Macaca mulatta: one gene and its partners. The protein of the gene in region 4 purifies or fractionates together with the protein of the main gene of each other region. This does not show direct contact. Links are inferred from orthologs where the notes say so. Each region holds a gene or a part of one and is shown on either strand. Other genes may lie near its edges.

The links. The genes of interacting proteins can lie anywhere in the genome.
Region 1: the proteins of POLR2G (region 4) and GPN3 purify together in Homo sapiens (affinity purification with mass spectrometry; 3 studies listed by BioGRID and IntAct, counting the BioPlex papers as one, with this or other methods). This does not show direct contact. The link is inferred for Macaca mulatta from reciprocal best matches to the Homo sapiens genes POLR2G and GPN3.
Region 2: the proteins of POLR2G (region 4) and POLR2M purify together in Homo sapiens (affinity purification with mass spectrometry; 4 studies listed by BioGRID and IntAct, counting the BioPlex papers as one, with this or other methods). This does not show direct contact. The link is inferred for Macaca mulatta from reciprocal best matches to the Homo sapiens genes POLR2G and POLR2M.
Region 3: the proteins of POLR2G (region 4) and GTF2B purify together in Homo sapiens (affinity purification with mass spectrometry; 3 studies listed by BioGRID and IntAct, with this or other methods). This does not show direct contact. The link is inferred for Macaca mulatta from reciprocal best matches to the Homo sapiens genes POLR2G and GTF2B.

The regions. Positions count from the first base shown.
Region 1 is NC_133416.1:117,634,690-117,639,692, reverse strand, and holds the start of GPN3 (GPN-loop GTPase 3), read left to right. Parts: upstream 1-1,963; 5' UTR 1,964-2,021; coding exon 2,022-2,186; exon of another isoform or gene 2,187-2,231; intron 2,232-2,400; exon of another isoform or gene 2,401-2,454; coding exon of another isoform or gene 2,455-2,502; exon of another isoform or gene 2,503-2,532; intron 2,533-5,003. Other genes in the region: protein FAM216A, read right to left, coding at 1,642-1,733. UniProt on the Homo sapiens protein: Small GTPase required for proper localization of RNA polymerase II (RNAPII). May act at an RNAP assembly step prior to nuclear import.
Region 2 is NC_133412.1:35,009,240-35,014,177, reverse strand, and holds the start of POLR2M (protein GRINL1A), read right to left. Parts: upstream 3,041-4,938; 5' UTR 2,912-3,040; coding exon 2,799-2,911; intron 1,040-2,798; coding exon 392-1,039; intron 1-391.
Region 3 is NC_133406.1:151,711,352-151,716,393, forward strand, and holds the start of GTF2B (transcription initiation factor IIB), read left to right. Parts: upstream 1-2,002; 5' UTR 2,003-2,053; coding exon 2,054-2,070; intron 2,071-5,042. UniProt on the Homo sapiens protein: General transcription factor that plays a role in transcription initiation by RNA polymerase II (Pol II). Involved in the pre-initiation complex (PIC) formation and Pol II recruitment at promoter DNA.
Region 4 is NC_133419.1:11,297,319-11,302,121, forward strand, and holds the start of POLR2G (DNA-directed RNA polymerase II subunit RPB7), read right to left. Parts: upstream 3,292-4,803; 5' UTR 3,201-3,291; coding exon of another isoform or gene 3,188-3,200; coding exon 3,176-3,187; coding exon of another isoform or gene 3,042-3,175; coding exon 2,932-3,041; intron 1,644-2,931; coding exon 1,484-1,643; intron 1-1,483. UniProt on the Homo sapiens protein: Core component of RNA polymerase II (Pol II), a DNA-dependent RNA polymerase which synthesizes mRNA precursors and many functional non-coding RNAs using the four ribonucleoside triphosphates as substrates.

The DNA.
Region 1 (5,003 bases), on a different chromosome or scaffold from region 4:
ACCCATCTCTACGAAAAATACAAAAATTAGCTGGGTGTGGTGGCGCACACCTCTAGTCTAAGCTACTTGGGAGGATGAGGCAGGAGAACCACTTGAACCCAGGAGGCGGAGGTTGCAGTGAGTTGAGATTGTGGCATTGCACTCTAGCCTGGGTGACAGAGGGAGACTCCGTCTCAAAAAAAAGAAAAAAAGTTAATGTATCTCCTGATACACTAGGATCCAGCAATCGGCCAAGGATTATGAAGAACAGAAAAGAAACCCAAGAAGACTCCATCCCATCTTTAAGAAGTCTTCAGTAGCACCAGATACAAAAAGGATGGCCATGCGGGTGGATCAGGAGGTCAGATGGAGACCATCCTGGCTAACACGGTGAAGCCCTGTCTCTACTAAAAATACAAAAAATTAGCCGGGCGTGGTGGCACGCGCCTGTAATACCAGCTACTCTCGGGAGGCTGAGGGAGGAGAATGGCATGAACCCAGGAGGCAGAGCTTGCAGTGAGCCAAGATCGCACCACTGCCCTCCAGCCTGGGCGACAGAGCGAGACTCCGTCTCAAAAACAAAAAAGGATGGCCACGGGTGCAACAGGGCACTGTGGGTTGTACTGAACGGCAAACATATCGCAGTTCTTGCTTTTAGGAAATAAAGGAGGGAGAGGAAGAGGAGGTAGAGTCTCCAGCAGTGACTTCAACAGCTCATTGTCTTCACTATCCAGGAAATAGGTGTAAAAACCTGCTCAAGACGAAATAGATTTGTGAAAAAAGGAACTTCAGTATGTGAAGAAAAATGTCAAGATCAGGGCACCTTGGATATTCAGTCATTGGTCTCACTGGCGATTAGAAACTCTCGTTTGAGGTCGGGCGCAATGGTTCACCCTGTAATCCCCGCACTTTGGGAGGCCGAGGCGGGCGGATCACTTGAGGTCAGAGGTTCGGCACAAGCTGGCCAACATGGTGAAACCGCGTCTCTACTAAAAATACAAAAATTAGCCGGGAGTGTTGGCAGGCGCCTGTAATCCCAGCTACTCGGGAGGCTGAGGTAGGAGAATCACTTGAACCCAGGAGGCTGAGGTTGCAGTGAGCCGAGATCGCACCACTGCACTCCAGCCTGGGCAACAGAGCGAGACTCTGTCTCACACTCAAAAAAAAAAAGAAAGAAAAGAAAAGAAAAAAAAGAAAACAAAAAGAAAGAAATCCCCGTTTGACAGAAAGGTGGCTCATGTCACAAGAGGGAAGGAACTAGTTTATGGGCCTGGACGCCCCCAGCTGAACTGGGGGACATCTTCCTCCTCTGTTCCCGCCGCCTCGCCTTTCGGTGGACACACCGTCCTGTGCCAGACAGCAAATGTCCCAGTAGGGCTCGCAGCGCCCCCTCGGGGCAGAGAGATGCACGCGGGCGACTGTCGCAGTCACCTCGTGGCCACTGCACCAAACGCTTCTCCGAGGCTTCCCTCAGAGGCCCTCCCTCAACCGCGAGGCAGTCCTCCCCTCTTCCCTCCCGTCCACAACACAACTGTTCCCCGCCTCTCACTTGAGGGCACCGGAGCCAGCCCGAGACGCACGGCCGGCCGCAGCCCTCCTCACGGGGCTCACGACCCGGGGGCCCCACGCTGCCACCCCTTGCCCCGGGGCCCCCAACCTCACCCGCCGCCGCCACCCTCGGTCCCGGCCACTGCGGGCGGCTCTGCAGAAGAGCTACGCTCCGTCCAGTCGGACCCAGGACCCTGGCCCGGCATCTCCGCGGCGCCGAGACCGCGAGCCGTGTGCGGGAGCAGCTGTCCCAGCGTCCCTTCCCTGACAGCACGCGTGCGTCAGGCGGCTGGTATTCCGGAGAGGCGGTTCAGATGCCGGCTTCTCGCCCCTCCGAAGCCGTTCGGACACTACCCGAAGAGCTTCGGGAGAGCGGGGCGGGCAGATCCGCGACCCCGGAGTTACGGTGGGGGAGGGGCAGGAGCGCTGCGGTAGCTGAGCGTTTGCACGTTTGCACCTCTGTGGAAGCAGTGCGTCACAGGAGGGAAATATACATGCTCCCCAAAACAAGAGGTGCTTTCCACTTCAGTATTCCAGATCCTCAACACATTTGCAAATCGCGAGGGTCACCATATAGGTCAAAAGTCTGCACGCAAACCACGGACCGAAGCACGCGGCTCAAGGATGCGGAGCTTTATCTGTTATCCGTTATTACCCAGGTATCCAAGCTTAGGCTGCATCCCAACGGCCGATTTCCAACAACTACTTCTGCGCACGCGCATACCATCTCCTTCACCCCTCCACTTTTGTCTCAGGATGCTTTTCTCACCGGATTTGGCCCGCGGGCTGTCCCGTAGAAGGAGGTGTGGTAGAAATGGAGACGTAGAAAGAATGTGGATTGCGATTGGTTCGCACTTCACTTTCCCGGAACTCAGTGGGCGTCGCGCGAAGGCTGAGGGAGTGTGGCGGGCGGCTCCGGGAGCCGACATGCCTCGGTATGCGCAGCTCGTCATGGGCCCCGCGGGCAGCGGGAAGGTGAGGATCTGAGGGGACAAGGAGAGAAAAGTAGGGGTTCATGGGAGGCGGGAGGTTGGATCCTGAGGGAGCGAGGCGGCGGGTATGTGTACTGGGAACCCTGAGACCCCACGCAACTCATTTATGCTGTCTGGCTTCATGTTTTTTGTTGTTGTTTTGAAAGGGAAATAATGGTAGTTGTTAATATTTATTGGATACTTAAGCCCCAGGCAGTAGATTAAACGCCTTGCTGATTTCTACAACAACCCTGTGAGAGAGATCTCATTCTCATTTTGCAGACAACGAGACACAGAAAGGTTAAGTTCTTTGCCCAGCAAAAAAATTTAAATCCAGTTTTGTCTAAACTCCAGAATCCGGCCCTGTTTCGCTCCCAGAAGGGTAAAGTGGGGTCTCGTTAATTACTGTTTCTCAGAACTTGGAACATGGACTTTTGGTATTTAAGGTGCTTTTAGGTGGTACATGGACCCAACATTAAGGAGCATCAGATCATGTATTGAGGAAATTGTTGCCTTTTCATTTCTCTTTCAGTTCTTCGCATTTAGGAGAAATTGTGCTCGGTGCTAGTGTGTATCTTCAGCACTTATTTAATCCTCAGGTCTTTTCAGAGAGCAGTTCTTAGTCTCAGAGCTTTTAATAGGCACTTGTATTTAGCTAAAATTAAGAACATTTAAAAGTTTTATATAATTTTATGTCTAACTTCACGTTATGTCAAATATAACTGGTTTTCAGTTTACAGTAGGGATAAAATTTTTTCTTGTAAACAAATATTAAGGAAATGTTAGGAACATTCAAATACAGTGGGAATGGTGAAGATATGGATCAAATAACAGATGTGTGGGAAACATAGCCAGGCGTGGTGGCTCACGCCTGTAATCCTATCACTTTGGGAGGTGGAGGTGGACGGATCGCCTGAGCCAGGAGTTTGGGACCAGCCTTGGCAATACGGGGAAACTCTTGTCTTTACAAAAAAATGCAAAAATTAGCCAGACCTGGTGGCAGGCACCTGTAGTCCCAGCTTCTTGGGAGGCTGAGGTGGGAGGATTACCTAAACCCAGGAGGTTGAGGCTGTGGTGAGTGGTGATCGTGCCACTGCACTCCAGCCTGAGTGACAGAGATACTGTCACAAAAAAAGAAAAAGAAAAACTGGGAAACACTAGAGTCTGTGGAGGTGTTGTGTGGCCTTAGTTTTTAACAAACACATTGTTCTAAGCTGTTGAGTTATTCTGAGTAAAAAACATGTACATGTAACTAAGATACGTATGACCTTTAACTTACCCAGAGTCTGGAGTCTTTTGGGGAAGACAAATAATGACCTGTCAATTAAGATACAATGTGATGTGGCCAGGTGTGGTGGCTTAAGCCTGTAATCCTCGCACTTTGGGAGGCTGAGGCCAGCAGATCACTTGAGCCCAGGAGTTCAAGGTCAGCCTGGGCAACATGGTGAAGCCCTGTCTCTACCAAAAATACAAAAATTAGCTGGGTGTGGTGGCCAGAGCCTGTAGTCCCACCTACTCGGGGAGCTAAGGCTGGAGAATCGCTTGAGCCTGGGTCAAAGCAGCAGTGAGCTATATGATGGTGCCACTGCACTCCAGCCTGGGTGACAGAGTGAGACCCTTTGTCAAAAAAAAAAAAGATACAGACAGAGACAACAGTATGTGTAAAGGCACTGAGAGGACAGCAAAATGGATTTTTTTTTCTATAGTCTATTTTAATTTTTGTACTGATTGTGTTAAACAAGTATCTTTATAAGCTTTTGATGCCTACTATCAGAAACATTTGTTGAGTATGTTCTTTCTCCCAAGCATGTTTTGGGCCCTGGAGGTTGTGTGGGGAAAAAAACAGGCACACACAAAATCCCTGCCCTGTGGAGCTTATCTTTAAACATAATAAGTCAATTAGAAATAATTATCAAGTATTTATTATGTAGTAGGTATTGTGCTAATCCCTGTGCTTGGGAAACTGAATGACACATCTCTGCCTTTAAACAGAGGATGACACAGACAAGTAGCCTAGAATTTTTTTTTTTTTTTTTTTTTTTTTTTTTTTTGAGCCGGGAGTCTTGTTCTGTCATCCAGGTTGGAGTGCAGTGGTGTGATCTCAGTTCACTGCGACCTCCGCCTCCTGGGTTCAAGTGATTCTCCTGCCTCAGCCTCCCGAGGATCTGAGATTACAGGCATATGCCACCACGCCCGGCTAATTTTTGTGTATTTAGTAGAGGCGGGGTTTCACCATGTTGGCCAGGCTGGTCTTGAACTCCTGACCTCAGGTGATCTGCCTACCTCGGCCTCCCAAAGTACTGGGATTACAGGCGTAAACCACTGCACCCAGCCCCAGATTTTAACATAGTATGGTAACAACAACATAAGGGATAAAGAATTATCTAAACCAAACGTTACAAACTGATAGCCACCTCCAAACTATTGACCTTGGCGTTCCTTCATCTTGGAATGCTCTTCCCCTTAGGATGGCAAGCTCATTATCATATACTCAGATATCCCCTA
Region 2 (4,938 bases), on a different chromosome or scaffold from region 4:
TATTGGCTAAGCGTCCTGAAATTTAATATTCCCCCAAGTGCTATTTAAGACCCTGTCAATTACTTAGTTTCAAAACTAAATATTTTTCAGCATGAACCTTCCACTCCAGCCAGGCTGGTCTCAGTGTTTCCACAATATGTTCTTTCCTAAATACAAGTAATTCTCATACAAAGCCCATGGAACTTAGAGCATTCTCCTTATTTATGAGAAAAGGTCTTATTATAAGTTGCCCAAGCTGGTCTACAACTCCTGGACTCAAGCTGTCTTCCCACCTCAGCCTCCTGAGTAGCCTAGGACTACAGGCAAGCACCACGACACCCAGTTTCTCTTAACTTTTTGAGTTTAACAAATATCATGTTCCTGTTATAGGCCTGTTTCCGATGGTACTTACACATTGGTTTTAAATTTATGCAGCTGGGGCACTGGATTTTTGGCTCGCATTTCTAGCACTTCCATGTAATGAGGCTTCTTCTGAGTCCCACTAGAAAGGTCTGTCAAGTTCTTAGTACTTGCGTTTTCTTCTGACTGTTGTTCACCTTGGTCTGCAATGGTGATCCTCTGTAACCTGTCAATAAACAGGTTGTCAAAGCTGCTGGAAGTATCTTCTGCTTGACTTGAAACACGACGCTGCGGGTGATGCTCACTAGCTTCAGATGAAGACGGTACCCTGTCTCTGTTGCTGGAAGCTGGGCCCTTAATCACTGTGTATTCAACCTCTGGAGTCTCTCCATCACCTTCATGAGTAGGATGTCCAAGTCCCTGGTTTTGTGAGGTTGTTTTAGATGACTTGATATTATCTACAGAGGAACACCCAGGAACTAGTGATGAAGTATCAAGTATCGGGTCAGAATTCTGGGCCTTATCTGTACCCACATCAACTTCTGCAATTGCTTTTTGCCTTAGCTTACAGTCTAAACTAACAGGGTGAAACAGTTCACTTTTTCTTCTAACTTCTTCATGTTCTGCAACAGCAGCTTTCAGTTTGGCAACAGAGTCAAAGATCTTTTTACCTTTGTCGGGCAATTTGCAAATGAATTTTCTGTCAAATGGAAAAGAATACATACACATTACAGCCATGTTTTTAACTTGACATATAACATTAAAAAGGCAAAGCATTATCTTCAAAGAAAGAAAAGCTGATTTTTAAGTCAAATATCTGATTTCTAACTGCCCCAAAACAGGAATAAAACAAATAAAACGGTCATTATCCAAACAGCACAAAAAAACAACGGAATGCTGGAATAGGGAATATATGCCTCATTTGTCTCAGCAAATTAGAATTTCGGCAAAAGTATTTTAAGCATGTAATAATCACATAAGACATTCTAAGAACCAGCAGTCATTAAAGTGCAATCCCCACAATTTGGGGATGGGGTGGAGTGTGGGGATGGGCCTATTATTTTAAAACTACTTTCATAATAATACTAAGATGTTATTTCCCTCTCATTTTCTCACATGGGTACAGCGGAGTTTTCCAGTGGCTACATGACATATGATGACATCATTGTTCTAGAATAGAATGTGTGCTTGTGTATGCTTATGTTTTAAAGACTTCAGCTGTATTTCTGATAAGTAAATAAACTTCACTAGACAGAACACATAAAATAGTTCTTCGGGATGTCAAAAAATCTTAAAGTATAAAGGAGTCCTGAGACCAAAAAGTTAATTCACTACTACAGATTAAAAACCTATTCTCACAAGGTAAAAACACCTGCCTTGATCCCAATCAATTATTTATTTGTCCCTTTTGCTAGATGACAGAGTTCCTTTTTTGATTCTCTTTTCTTTAATTATACAATAAATGGAGAGAAAAATCTTAGGTCCTTTGTTCTTTTTGACACTACATTCATTCCCACTATTTCAACTATTAACAACACTCTACAGCTGAAATTCCTATGTTTTCTATATTTTTCCAGAGTTCTCTCTTTCTTGAGCCTAATGACAACTTCTCCAGCTTTTAAGTGTTTGGTTTTCAATTAGTCAAATGTCTGTCCCGCTCTCCCCTCAACTCTGAACACCCTATGTAAAATCAACCACGGATCTATTCCTCTCCCTGAATATTCCTATTTTTGCTAGTGGTCTTCCATACAAATTGGAAAACTCAGCCATCTCTGTCAACTACATTTAAATGACTCTATGCTTAAAAGTTCTCCCAATCCCTTCCTAGTTCACTTTCTTACAACTGTCTCGTGGGGAGCCTCTCTGAAAATAGCCATCTACTGTCTCCCGCTTTTTATTCCTTCAAACCATCTTTTGCAACAAGCTGCTAAACAAAGCTGCCTGAAAAACAAAATCACTTTTATCACGTGGCTCCCTTGCTAAAATCCGTTAAATCAACCAGCTGACTGGGGGTCGAACTTTCCCGGCCTAATAAACGCCTCTTCATATCCCACTCTTCCCATTTCCTACGGTTCCTGTAAGCGTAGAATCCAGAGACGAAGCTGACAATTTGTTATGGGTTAGGGGTGCGGGCGACAAAAGGGTTTAGAATGAAGACTCTTGCTTCATGGAACTAACACAGTCCCCGGGTAAATAAAACCAACGAGGGGCTACTAACTGCCTGCAACAATAAGTAGCCGTTCAGTCCGAGCCATCCTCGCAGGCCTACGTGCCTGGCCAGGAAGAGGCACGGCTCTGCGACAGCAAGCCCTCCGTCCACTCGCCCGTAGGACTGAGGCGAATGTGACTGAGGCAAGGTCACCTTCCAGGGAAGGAAACAGAGTGGGGGAGGGGAGGGGAGCGCCCAGGGAGCTCGAGCTGAAGGAGCCTGGCGGAGACTCCGCGGGACCCCAGCTTACTCGTTGCGCAAAAGTCTCTCCTGGCGCTTCAACATTTCCCGCAGCTCCACCAAACTCCGCTGCCCCAAGTCCTCGGGAGCTTGGGGCTCGAAGCCGCGGGGCAGCGAGGACATTCTGCACAGGCTGAGGCTGGCGCGGCGGCGGGCACTCGGCTTCCTCGGCAGGCCCCGCTGCTAGCGCCGGATCCGCGGACTGCGGTGACTCCGGGGCTCGAGCGGGAGTCGCCATTTTCCCGGAAGAACGGGGTCTTCCTCGAGCCGAATCGAGCTTTATTGAAATGCCGGAAACAAACACGGACCGGGAGAAGGGGGCGTCCGGAGGAGCGCTAAAGGGCGGAAATTACGTTGGAGGACGCCGGCGCCTGGGTTTGGCGCCCTTTCCCCTCGTGTGAGCATTCATCCGGTTGTCAGCTGTTCATAGGTTTATACAAAAAGTATTTGGCGCCAGCGTGACCTCACCAAGCACTATGTGTTAGTCAACAAAGAGCCACGTCCTCTGTTATAGTTGGGGTTTACAGAGTTGGCGCGGGGGACGGAGGGACGGAGAATCAAATAATATAATAGTGACGTTGGGGTGGGCACCTGGGAAGGTATCTCTGAGAAGTGAAATACAAGTCGAAACCTGAAAGATGAGTTGGCCGTTAATAAGGTAGAGGAGAGTGCGGGACAGGATTTGGGAGACTCCGGCCTGTGTGTGGTGCCTCCTAGCTCAGCTTAGGGACGTCCTGAAATGTTAAAGTTGGAAGGTTCCTTAGAATCAGCAATTCTTTTCGGGGCTCATTGCATTTGGAGCAGGACTTCATTTGTGGCACTGCCTCAGGCATTGTTAAGACATTTGGTGTTTCTGGCTTCTGCCTGCTAGGTGCCATGGCACTCCCAAGTAATTGCAAAAATCCAAAATGTCTCCCCCAACATACATTTCCAAAGGCCCACAAGAGGTGATGAGGGAGTGGGAGCAGCTGTACAAACTGGTTGAGGACCTTTTATAATTTTCTACTTTGCCTGTAGAAAAAGAGTCATGAAAACTGAAATAAATATTCCCAGGGCACAAAACCAGTAAGTGACAGCACCAGATTTCAAACCCAAAAGCCCAGCGGCTTTTCCAACACACCAATTTGAAAATTCCCTTCTTCACTTTAGGCCTATCTCCAAATGTGCAAAATTGTTGAAAAGACTTTTTTTTTTCTTTCCCCCAGCTGTTGAGAAGAAGACAGTTTAGTAAGTATTGGACACAGCTTTTAGTTTCTTGTTATAGTTCACCTACCAGAGATGCATCCCAATGGAAACAGTAGGAAGACATGCAGTCACAGCAGATATCACTTGGGAGGTTTGAACACCCCCATAACCTCCAAAACCACTGCCCTCCCCCGATTTTTTTATATAGGAAATTGAAGTTGTCTCAATCCTATGTAAGATGCTATATTAACACAAGCAGCTCCATCCCAAAGAGACAGAAGATCTAGGTAAACTCCAAAGCTATTCCAGGGAGCACAATTGCAACCATTTTTTTATCCCCCCAATCTAGTCCATTCAGATCAGATTCATTAGTATATCAAAATAAGTTTTCTCTGTATAAGACTTGCTTTCAAGGATGTTAATAACCTGCTCCAGCATTGGCTGAATGAGAAATAGGTAAGCTCCTCGAGTCAGTTGGTTGTCTGTGGTGTCAACAAAAAAAAAAAAAAAAAAAAAAAAAAAACTCCATAAAATATTGAAGAGATGTATTCTGTGCTAGATATGAGTGACCATGGCCCATCACACAGCCCTCAGGAGATGCTGAGAACACATGCCCAAGGCAGTCGTTGCACAGCTTGGTTTTATACATTTTAGGGAGACATGAGACATCAATCAAATACATTTAAGATAAACATTGGCTTAATCCAGAAGGGTGAGACAACTCAAAGCAGAGCAGGTGTGGGGCAAGATGGGCTTCCAAGTTATAGGTAGATTTAAATTTTTTTCTGATTGGCAGTTGATTTAAAGGAACATCTAGGTTACCATAAGAAGTGGTGGAGACCGAAGTTTTATCATATAGATGAAGCCTCCAGTTAGCAGGCTTCAGAGAAAGTAAGTTGTAAGTGTTTCTTATCAGACTTAAGGTAGATGTTGATATTAAATGCTGTGCAGCTTTTCCTGGATTC
Region 3 (5,042 bases), on a different chromosome or scaffold from region 4:
TTCCTTCAACAAACATTACTGAATGCTTATCATGAATCCACCAGGTGCAGGTCCATGTTCTGGATCTCAAGAGATGCACAGTTGTCTTATTCCTCCTCTTCCTCCAAGCTAAGACGCTTTACCATGAAACCTCTACTGGACTGAGGTGCAGCAGCCCCAAGCCCTTTTCTGGTTGCACTTGACACAGCTGAAAAGGGTTGGCATTTTTCAAACTTTCCCAAATATTGAGGGTGGAAAAAACCCCCACAAGAGTACAGTCAAGTTATTAAAGTGACAGAATTACAAAACAGAAGATTGGGGTTGGGAAAGAAAAAAGAAATGCTCCCCGGTTCCCACCTAGATTTGAGTTCCTAAAATCCTGCCTCTTGCACACCCCTTTTTCTTTCTAAGGAAGCTAGTATCTCCCACCTTCTCAAGAAAACAATGAGTGCTCGATTAGATTTAAATCCCATCCCCAAAGAAAGGAAGCAGTCTTCTAAGTTCTCAGCCCCATGAAAACCACCAAGCACTTTCTCTACCAATCCCCATATTTCCAAGACTAGTTTTCTCCTGCAGTGTTGTCGCAGGAGAAAAGGGTCTGGAGGCAGGAAACCTAAGGCCGATTCACACTGATTTCCTAGAACTGAATCAAAAAGAAAACCCCAACTTTCCACACCTAAGTAACAAAAGAACCAGACACTACTCCCTTTGCAACCCCCTCCCCCCCACAACCCCCCTACAACTCCCTCCCACATACAATACCCCCCAATACCCCCCTCTCAACACCCCTCCCCCCAACACACACACACTTTTTCTGTGTGGCAGATGGGAAATTGAAAGTATCTCTGATTGGTTGCAGAAAGCAACCAATCAGACATTTGCATAGGAGTGTAACTTTGTAACTTCTCTTTAGCCTCTGATTGGTTGCTTTTCACAACCAATCAGACTGATTGTGGAGTCACTACTTCATTTACATAGGGTGTACACCAAGTAACCGATGGGAAACCTCTAGAGGATATTTAAACCCCAGAAAATTCTGTAAAGGTAGTCTTGAGCTCCTCTGCCCTGGTCGCTGCCGCTCTGTGGCGTGTACTTTCGTTTTCAATCTGCCTTTGTTGCTTCATTCGTTCCTTGCTTTGTGCGTTTTGTCCAGTTCTTTGTTCAAAACGTCAAGAACCTGAACACCCTCCACCAGTGTTATTGTTGTTAGTAGTAGTGGTATTACTATTTTGACGTTAATTTGGCTAATCTAGGGATATTTTGCATTATCTAGATGTTCTGCCAAGTTTTCTATACGTAGCTATCAGCCAAATTTGCAAAGGCCATGAAAAAAAAAAATGATCAGAGTATGACCCATATCGTCGTGCCTCTCATGCACACATTGGTCTCACGTAATTTTGTTTCATCTCCTGCCAATTCTAAAAGGGTATGCAAGGCAAGATACTATAACCTATATAAACCTACATACCCTGTATCAAAACGACGTGCCTAAGAAGATAACATGCTAGTTGATGACAGAGCCTGAAGAGACACCTGTTCTGGATGACCTAAGTGAATTTCTCTTTTTATTTTGAATTCCTTAGAAAGAATCACCCTTGGGGCACGTAAGAACCGGCTCAAATGGGAGTGCCTGAAGCCGGGTGGGGTACTGGGGCCGGGGGGTGGCGGTGAGAAGGTGGGAGAGGAAGGGGTGGTTAGACTTTTAGGGATGCAGGCTTTGGCACCACTACGAAGCCAGGGTTTTCTTCGTGTTTTAACTCTGTCAGATTGAGAGTAGCTCTGTTGTAGCCCCTTTGCAGGGTTCCCATGAGACTCTTCCTAGGCAGTTACGTTGACTCGCTTAGCAACATAGCAAATTACAGAAACGGAATAAAAACGTAAGAAATCTCAAAGCGCGTGACGTATGGGATCTCACTGTTCTTGGCCCTTCTCCCGACCCGTAGCCCCGCTCTGTTACGACTGCGTGGGTGAGTCGTCTATAAAAACTCATCTCTGCGCGTCTCTTCGCCACACTCGTTTCCTGTTTTCGGCGGATCTGTTGTGGCTTGTTGCGGGCACCGCAGTGGCCCTGAAGATGGCGTCTACCAGCCGGTTAGTATGTCCGGCCCAGCCCGGCGAGCTGAGGGGCGGGCGCGAGCGCCGCGGGCTTTCAGGCGGCCTCCGGGCAGCCTAGTCGGACTAAGCACCGAGGGGTATGGGAGAGAAGCGGCGGGACTGGCCGACCGGCCGGGACAAAGGCACTTCCAGACGGCAGGACTGTCAGGGTGTCGGAGGGGTTACCCAGCTGTTGACGTTATTGCTTCGGAGTCTTATGTCGTCTTCTCATGTAGACATCACCCTTTGTGGGTCCTGGTGGGCTTCTGTGTCCCTAGCCCTTGTCCTCGTCTTTTCTGAATATTTCAACCTCCCTTTATTTTCTTCTCCTTCTACCTCCGCCCCTCCCCCAGCTTGTTGTTTTCGTCTACGGCCCAAACAACCCGAGGTCCGTAATTTCTCCTTTTCAAAGGAACGGGAAATAGTTGGTTCCGGGTCCCTATCGATCTGACAGCTAGGAAGTTGGGAACGTCAGCATTGGTAAGCCAGATGGAACCAGGTTACCATCACAGCGGGCCTCGAAAGTGGAAGTTAGAGCCATCGGAAGAGTTGATTAGTTCCATGCTAAAGGATTTGTTTACAAATATCGTTGCCTGTGTCCTTCTGAAGAAAATCTTGCATAAGAAATTTAGTTATGTGTGCTGGGAGGTTGCTCTTCAGTATATATTTAAAAATGCAATGTACTCATATCTACAGGAAATGCATGCAGTACCCTCAGAGACAGCCTTTAATCTTGTGACCTGAAAAATGCTTGCAGACCCTAATTATATCTCTCATTACCACTATGAGGTAGATATTAGTATTTTTGCGTAAGTGTAAACTGAGTCATGCCAATGTTGACTTTACCAAGGATAGTGTTAGAGTGTAGAGTCTAAGATAACCTGTTTCTTGTTATCCACACCTGGCCTTTGGTTAACTAATGCTGTGTTAAAAGTATCAAATTAATTCTACAGGTTCTGGAACTCTGGCACCATTTTTCTGACCCTATCAGCTGTGAAATTGGTTAATTTCACAGTGAAAGCCATTTTTACAAAATAGCCTTTTCTGGTAACTGCCAAGACTTACATTTTATGGTTAGAAGAAAAGAATTTGGGGTGGGATGCGCTTTAGCTAATGTACTGTTTGAACAGAACTTATAAAGCCAGTGACACTCTTGTTTACTGATTCTGATTCTTGGATTGGATGCTCATTCTGTCTGGGTGGTGGTCTGTCAGGTGAGGCCTCCTTGTAGGTAAATAGAAAACTTTGGCTTCCCAAATCACTCAAATATGACTTAAATTCTGTCATGGCTTTTTAAGTCTGAATTTTTTTCTAGATATGTGCAATTTATGTATCATGGCAGTTATTGCTCAAGTTTTTCTATCAGTGACAAAGTTAAATGTAGAATTTTTTATTTTTTGGAACAGGCCTGGGCTGAAGTGCAAGTGGCACAATCATGGCTCACTGCAGCCATGACCTCCCCAGTTCAGGTGATCCTCCCACCTCAGCCTCCTGAGTAGCTGGGACCATAGGTGCACACTAATTTTTTTAGTGTGCCTGGCTAATTTTTTTATTTTTTAATTTTATTACTTTTTATTTTTGTAGAGACAAGGCCTAGTTACATTGCCCAGGCTGGGCCCGAACTCCTGGGCCCAAACAGTCCTCCGACTTTGGCCTGCCAAAGTGCTGTGGTAACAGGTATGAGCCACTATGCCCAGCCTAAATATATTATTTCTATCTTTTGCATGTTTTTCCCTCAGGAAGATGTATTGTTGCTAGGCCGTGAAACTGGCTGGTGACCTCACAGAAGAATACAAATATTTTGAGTTCAAATGTAAGCTTCGCCACTTACTAGTTCCATGACTTCAGGCAAATCATTCTGTGAGCATAATCTTTTAAAATGGGAAATAGGCCTTTCTTGCAGGATTGCTGTGGAGATTGACAATAATGAATGTGTAACACCAGCAATACAGTGCATACCCAATAAATGATAGCTCTAAAATGGGGTTTGGGATTATCTGGTACTTTAGATGTTTTAATGTCAGTGGTGGTGGTTTCCCTATTCCTCCCCATTGTTTCTCTCTGTTACCACCTGCGCCACCCCATTTGTATGGTTCCTCTTTTGTATTGTGGGTAATTTGGTTAAAAGTTTACTAATTTAGCATACTTTTATTTTGATAGGTAACACATACAAATGGTCCAAAAGCAAAATTACAATAGACTAAAACCATGAAAAGTAGGCTCTCAAGTCTCCCCAGATCAGCCATAGTTACTAGTCTTTTGGTGTTTTCCTCGTGCTTATGATTTAACAAGTGTATACAAATAGTTCTAACCTCTCTTCTCCCCAAAAGTGACCTGATTTAAACTCCATTCACTACCTTGCTTTTACCTTTTTTTAATGACATTAGCACGCAGATTTTAAAAGTGGGCAGCTCAGTCACAAAGTGAGCACATACATGGCTACTACCCAGGTAAGGAAATCAGATACCACTAGCACTAGCTAAGACACTAGCAAAGTCTCTGTCCTCAGTCATTCCCCCTCCCTTGAGAAAACCGCATCCTGATTTCTAACACCATCAATTTGTTTTGCCTGCTTTGAAGTTGGCATAAATGGCATATGTATTCTGCTGTCTAGCTTCTGTCAGTATTTTGAGGTTCATCCATGTTACAGTGTATGGCTAGTTTATACTTTTCAGCTTTGTATAGATTTTCTACCTTACTCCTCACTCTTCATATCTTTCAGATGTTTCTGTATCATTACATGAACTAGAGTTTTCTGTCTACTTTTTAATAGTGCAGAGTGTTAGTTCTTAGTACTGTGTTTAATGTGGCCTCCTCTTTTACTCATTTGTAATTAGTACTACTCTGCTAACATTTTCCTTTATTTCAACATAGTTTTTCGTAATTGATAACAACTGTTTGATTTTATTTGTCTTAATATATTAAAATACTTTCCTTAGAGGAATTTATAGAGTGATCACAAATATGAA
Region 4 (4,803 bases):
GCTAGGCTAATTTTTTAAAACTTTTTGTAGAGACAGAGTCTTGCTATGTTGCCCAGGCTGGTCTCAAACTCCTAGGCTCAAGCAATCTTCCCACTTCTGCCTCCCAAAGCACTGGGATTATAGGTGTAAGCCAGCACACCCAGCCCTCTTCTCTTTTTTTTTAAGCTTTCATTTGTATTTATTTATGTATTTACTTTGAGACAGAATCTTGCTCTGTTGTTCACTCTGGAGTGCAGTGGTGCAATTTCAACTCACTGCAACCTCCACCTCCCACGTTCAAGTGATTCTCATGCCTCAGCCTCCCGAGTAGCTGGGACTACATGCACATGCCACGATGCCTGGCTAATTTTTGTATTTTTAGTAGAGATACGGTTTCACCATATTGGCCAGGCTGGTCTTGAACTCCCAACCTCAGGTGATCTGCCCACCTCAGCCTCCCAAAGTGCTGGGATTACAGATGTGAGCCACCATGCCCAGCCTAACCTTTCATTTTAAAGTATTAAAGAGCTTAGGCCTGTTAGTCCAAGATTTGAACACCTGTTGGCCACATGATCTTGGCCAATACACTTAACTTCTTCTAAGCTTCAGCTTCTGTAAAAAGCACCCACTGGCCGGGGGCAGTGGCTCACGCCTACAATCCCAGCACTTTCGGTGGCTGAGGCAGGCAGATCACCTGAGGTCGGGAGTTTGAGACCAGCCTGACCAACATGGAGAAACCTCATCTCTACTAAAAATACAAAAATTAGCTGAGCGTGGTGGCGCATGCCTATAGTCCCAGCTACCTGGGAGGCTGAGGCAGGAGAATCACTTGAACCCAGAGGCGGAGGTTGTAGTGAGCCAAGATTGTGCCACTGCACTCCAGTCTGGCGACAGAGCTAAACTCCATCTTAAAAAAAAAAAAAAAAAAAGGAAAGCACCCACCTTTTAGTCATTGTGAGTCTCTGCACTTCACCTGGCCCACAGTCACTACTCAATCAACACAGGCTTTTATTGTTATGACTATTAATGTTGACTCTTGCCCTCTGAGTTGGGCAGGGAAGATTACCATACAATTTGAAAGTGCAGCACAAGAAGTAAAGTGATGGCCAGGCGTGGTAGCTCACACCTGTAATCCTAGCGCTTTGGGAGGCCGAGGTAGGCAGATTGAGCTCAGGAGTTCGAGATCAGCCTGGGCAACATGGCAAAACCCTATCTCTACTAAAAAAAATACAAAAACTTAGCCGGCCATGGTGGCACCTGCCTTTAGTCCCAACTACTTGGGAGGCCGAGGCAAGAGACTCACTGGAACCCAGAAGGCAGAGGTTTCAGTGAGCCAAGATGGCACCACTGCACTCCAGCCTGGGCGACAGAGCAACACTCCATCTCAAAAAAAAAAAAAAGAAGTAAAGTGACTTAGCTGAAGGCACAGTTATGAAGTGGAGCCAGGACCCAACCCAGATCTACTGAGAGACTACCCCAATGCCTCCCCTACGTATGGTCTCACCTTGTTGACCTGAGTTACAACAGCATCCACGACCTCCCCTTTAAAGGGCCGGAAAACAATGGCCTTGTACTTAACTGGATAAAGGACAAAGCCTCGGCCTGGCTGGATCACACCAGCACCAATATTGTCAATGGTGGTGACAGCAATTACAAAGCCATACCTGCAAGGAGGATGAGAAACAGAAAGACATTGTGTGTCCAAGAGCCTCTAGAGACATCTGCAATAAAAGTCACTGAGCTCTTGGGAGTAGTGTCGGGGAGAGCAAAAGGACAAGTAGATAGCACCTCTGCTCCCAGAGAGCTTAATGACCAAGAGAAGACAGAACACAGATCAGTATGGGCCGGGCGCGGTGGCTCAAGCCTGTAATCCCAGCACTTTGGGAGGCCGAGACGGGCGGATCACGAGGTCAGGAGATCGAGACCATCCTGGCTAACCCGGTGAAACCCCGTCTCTACTAAAAAATACAAAAAACTAGCCAGGCGAGGTGGCGGGCGCCTGTAGTCCCAGCTACTCGGGAGGCTGAGGCAGGAGAATGGCCTGAACCCGGGAGGCGGAGCTTGCGGTGAGCTGAGATCAGGCCACTGCACTCCAGCCTGGGCGACAGAGCGAGACTCCGTCTCATAAAAAAAAAAAAAAAAAAAAGAACACAGATCAGTATGTATAAGACCAAATGCTGTTCTGGTAATTTCACAGTAAATGTACAAGAAGGCTGGAGTCCTTGAGGAAACAGATCTCAATCTTCGGGATGCCTGAGAATCATCTTCTTAAAATGCAGATTCTCAGGTCTGCCTCACAGAGTCTTGATTCTGTAGGGAATAAGGAGGCTCAGGAATCTGCATGTTCCTGCAGGTTTTTCTGATGCTGGAGGCCCAAGTACTCCACTGCCCTGGGCTGGGTCCCAGCTCATTAATATCACAGAAGGCCCTCAGTGCAAAGCCCAGAGATGGTCAAGTCCCAGTCTACTTCCTTCCTCCCCCAAACTTTCGATCCACTTTTTCTGGTCATCCATTCAGAAGATATATAGAGGCCCACGGTGTGTGGTCCCTGGACACAGGGGATAAGAGAAAACCAGCAGAATGACAGAGTGAGAGGAGACACAGGAACAATGACTACACTGTGAGCTCCACAAGAGCTGGCCTCATTCTATCTTGTTCCCATTCTACCTTGTTCTGAGCCCAACACGGGTCCTGGCACACACCAAGTGTTTTTAAAATGTCTGAGGAGTAAATGAATGAATGACCAATCTCAGCTGAGGGAAGGAAGTCTTATTGTCCAGCATTGCAGAGGGCGCCCTGGGAACCCAAAGCAGGAAGCAACTGGCTGCCTGAGAGGGTGAGCGGGGTCCCTAGAGTGGGTGGCAGGACTAATAGGAGTTGCGGATGGTTTGCAGGTATAGCGACCCGTGTGCGCATCGAACGATCTGGCGGCGCGGTGAGCTCGGCACTCACTTCCCTGTGCAGGTCCCCTCCACTTCGGTGAAGAGCTTCTGCTTCACCGTGTTGAGCAAGTTGGGGCCGAAGTAGCGCGGGTGCAGCAGGATTTCGTGCTCTAGGGAGATCTGCGGAGAAAAGAGGGATGGCGACCAGGCCACGCGCTGGGAGCTTATCAGACGACAAGGGGAGCCTCGCGCCGGCGCCTGGCCTTGCTCCTCCTTTCCACCCAGCCCTTGCCGCCACCCTGGGCCCTGCTCACATGGTAGAACATCTTCCCAGAGCATGAAGGCAGGAACAGTCCACACCTCCGACCGCCCCTGGGAATCTACCGGAAACACACTTAGCCGCCGCAACCCCAGTTCCGCGCCTGCTGCGACGTTGAGAGCGGAACTCCACCTCCTCCGCGAGGGCGGAACTCCACCTGCTCCACGGGTCTGATTGGGCCTTGTAGCCGTGGGCGTGAACCACTAAGCCCCGCCCCTCACCACCGCCCCGCCCCCCCACCGGCCATCAAACCACAACTCTCTTTTTTTTGTTTTGAGACGGATCTGGCTCCGTCTCCCAGGCTGGAGTGCAGTGGCGCGATCTCGGCTCACTGCAAGCTCCGCCTCCCGGGTTCGGGCCATTCTCCTGCCTCAGCCTCCCCAGTAGTTGGGACTACAGGCGCCCACCACCGCGCCCGGCTAATTTTTTGTATTTTTAGTAGTGACGGGGTTTCACCGGGTTAGCCAGGCTGGTCTTGATATCCTGACCTTGTGATCCGCCCTCCTCAGCCTCCCAAAGTGCTGGAATTACAGGCGTGAGTCACAGCGCCCGGCCAATTTTGTGTTTTTAGTAGAGATGGGGTTTCTCCATGTTGGTCAGGCTAGTCTCAAACTCCCAACCTTAGGTGATCCACCCACCTCGGCCTCCAAAAGTGCTGGAATTACAGGCGTGAGCCACTGTGCCCGGCCAGCAACTCTCTGAATTGCTTGAACCTGGGAGGCCACTGCACTCCAGCCTGGGCAACAAAAGCGAAACTCCATCACAAAAAATAATAATAAATAATAGCTACCACTTACTGCTTTCTTCCTAAATGCCAGACACTGTGTTAAGCCCTTTATATAATTATCTCCCTTAATTCTCATAATAATCTACAGAAATTGGTGTAGAAATAACAAAAAATTTACATGAGCCTTAGTCGAAAGGCCAGGAAGCTACAGAAAATAATGAAATTTAGGCTGGGCGCAGTGGTTTACGCCTGTAATCCCAGCACTTTGGAAGGCGGAGGCGGGCAGATCATGGGGTCAGGAGATTGAGACCATCCTTGCTAACACGGCGAAACCTCGACTCTACTAAAAATACAAAAAATTAGCCGGTACTCAGGAGGCTGAGGCAGGAAAATCGCTTGAACCCGGGGGGCGGAGGCTGCGGTGAGCTGAGATCGCGCCACTGCACTCCAGCCTGGCAACAGAGCAACACTAAGAAAGAACGAAAGAAAGAGAGAGAGAGAAAGAAAAAATTTAAAAGCTATTGCAATCCCAAAAAACATTTTAAGCCTCGAGAGAGATATGACTGTGAGTCACATATAGTTTACAACTTCTGTTCTCAGATTATAGATTAATTCACTTTCTTTTTTTTGAGAGGGAGTCTCGCTGTGTCACCCAGGCTGGAGTGCAGGAAATCCATGACTATTTCATCCTCTGTTAAAAAAATGTTACATACCCCCGGCACGATGGCTCACGACTGTAATCCCGGCTACTTGGGAGACTGGGGCAGGAGAATTGCTTGAACCCGGGAGGCAGAGGTTGCAGTGAGCCGAGATCGTGCCACTGCACTCCAGTCTGGGAGACAGAGCAAGATTCCCTCTCAAAAAAAAAAAAGTTACATGTGAATCACAAGGTCAGA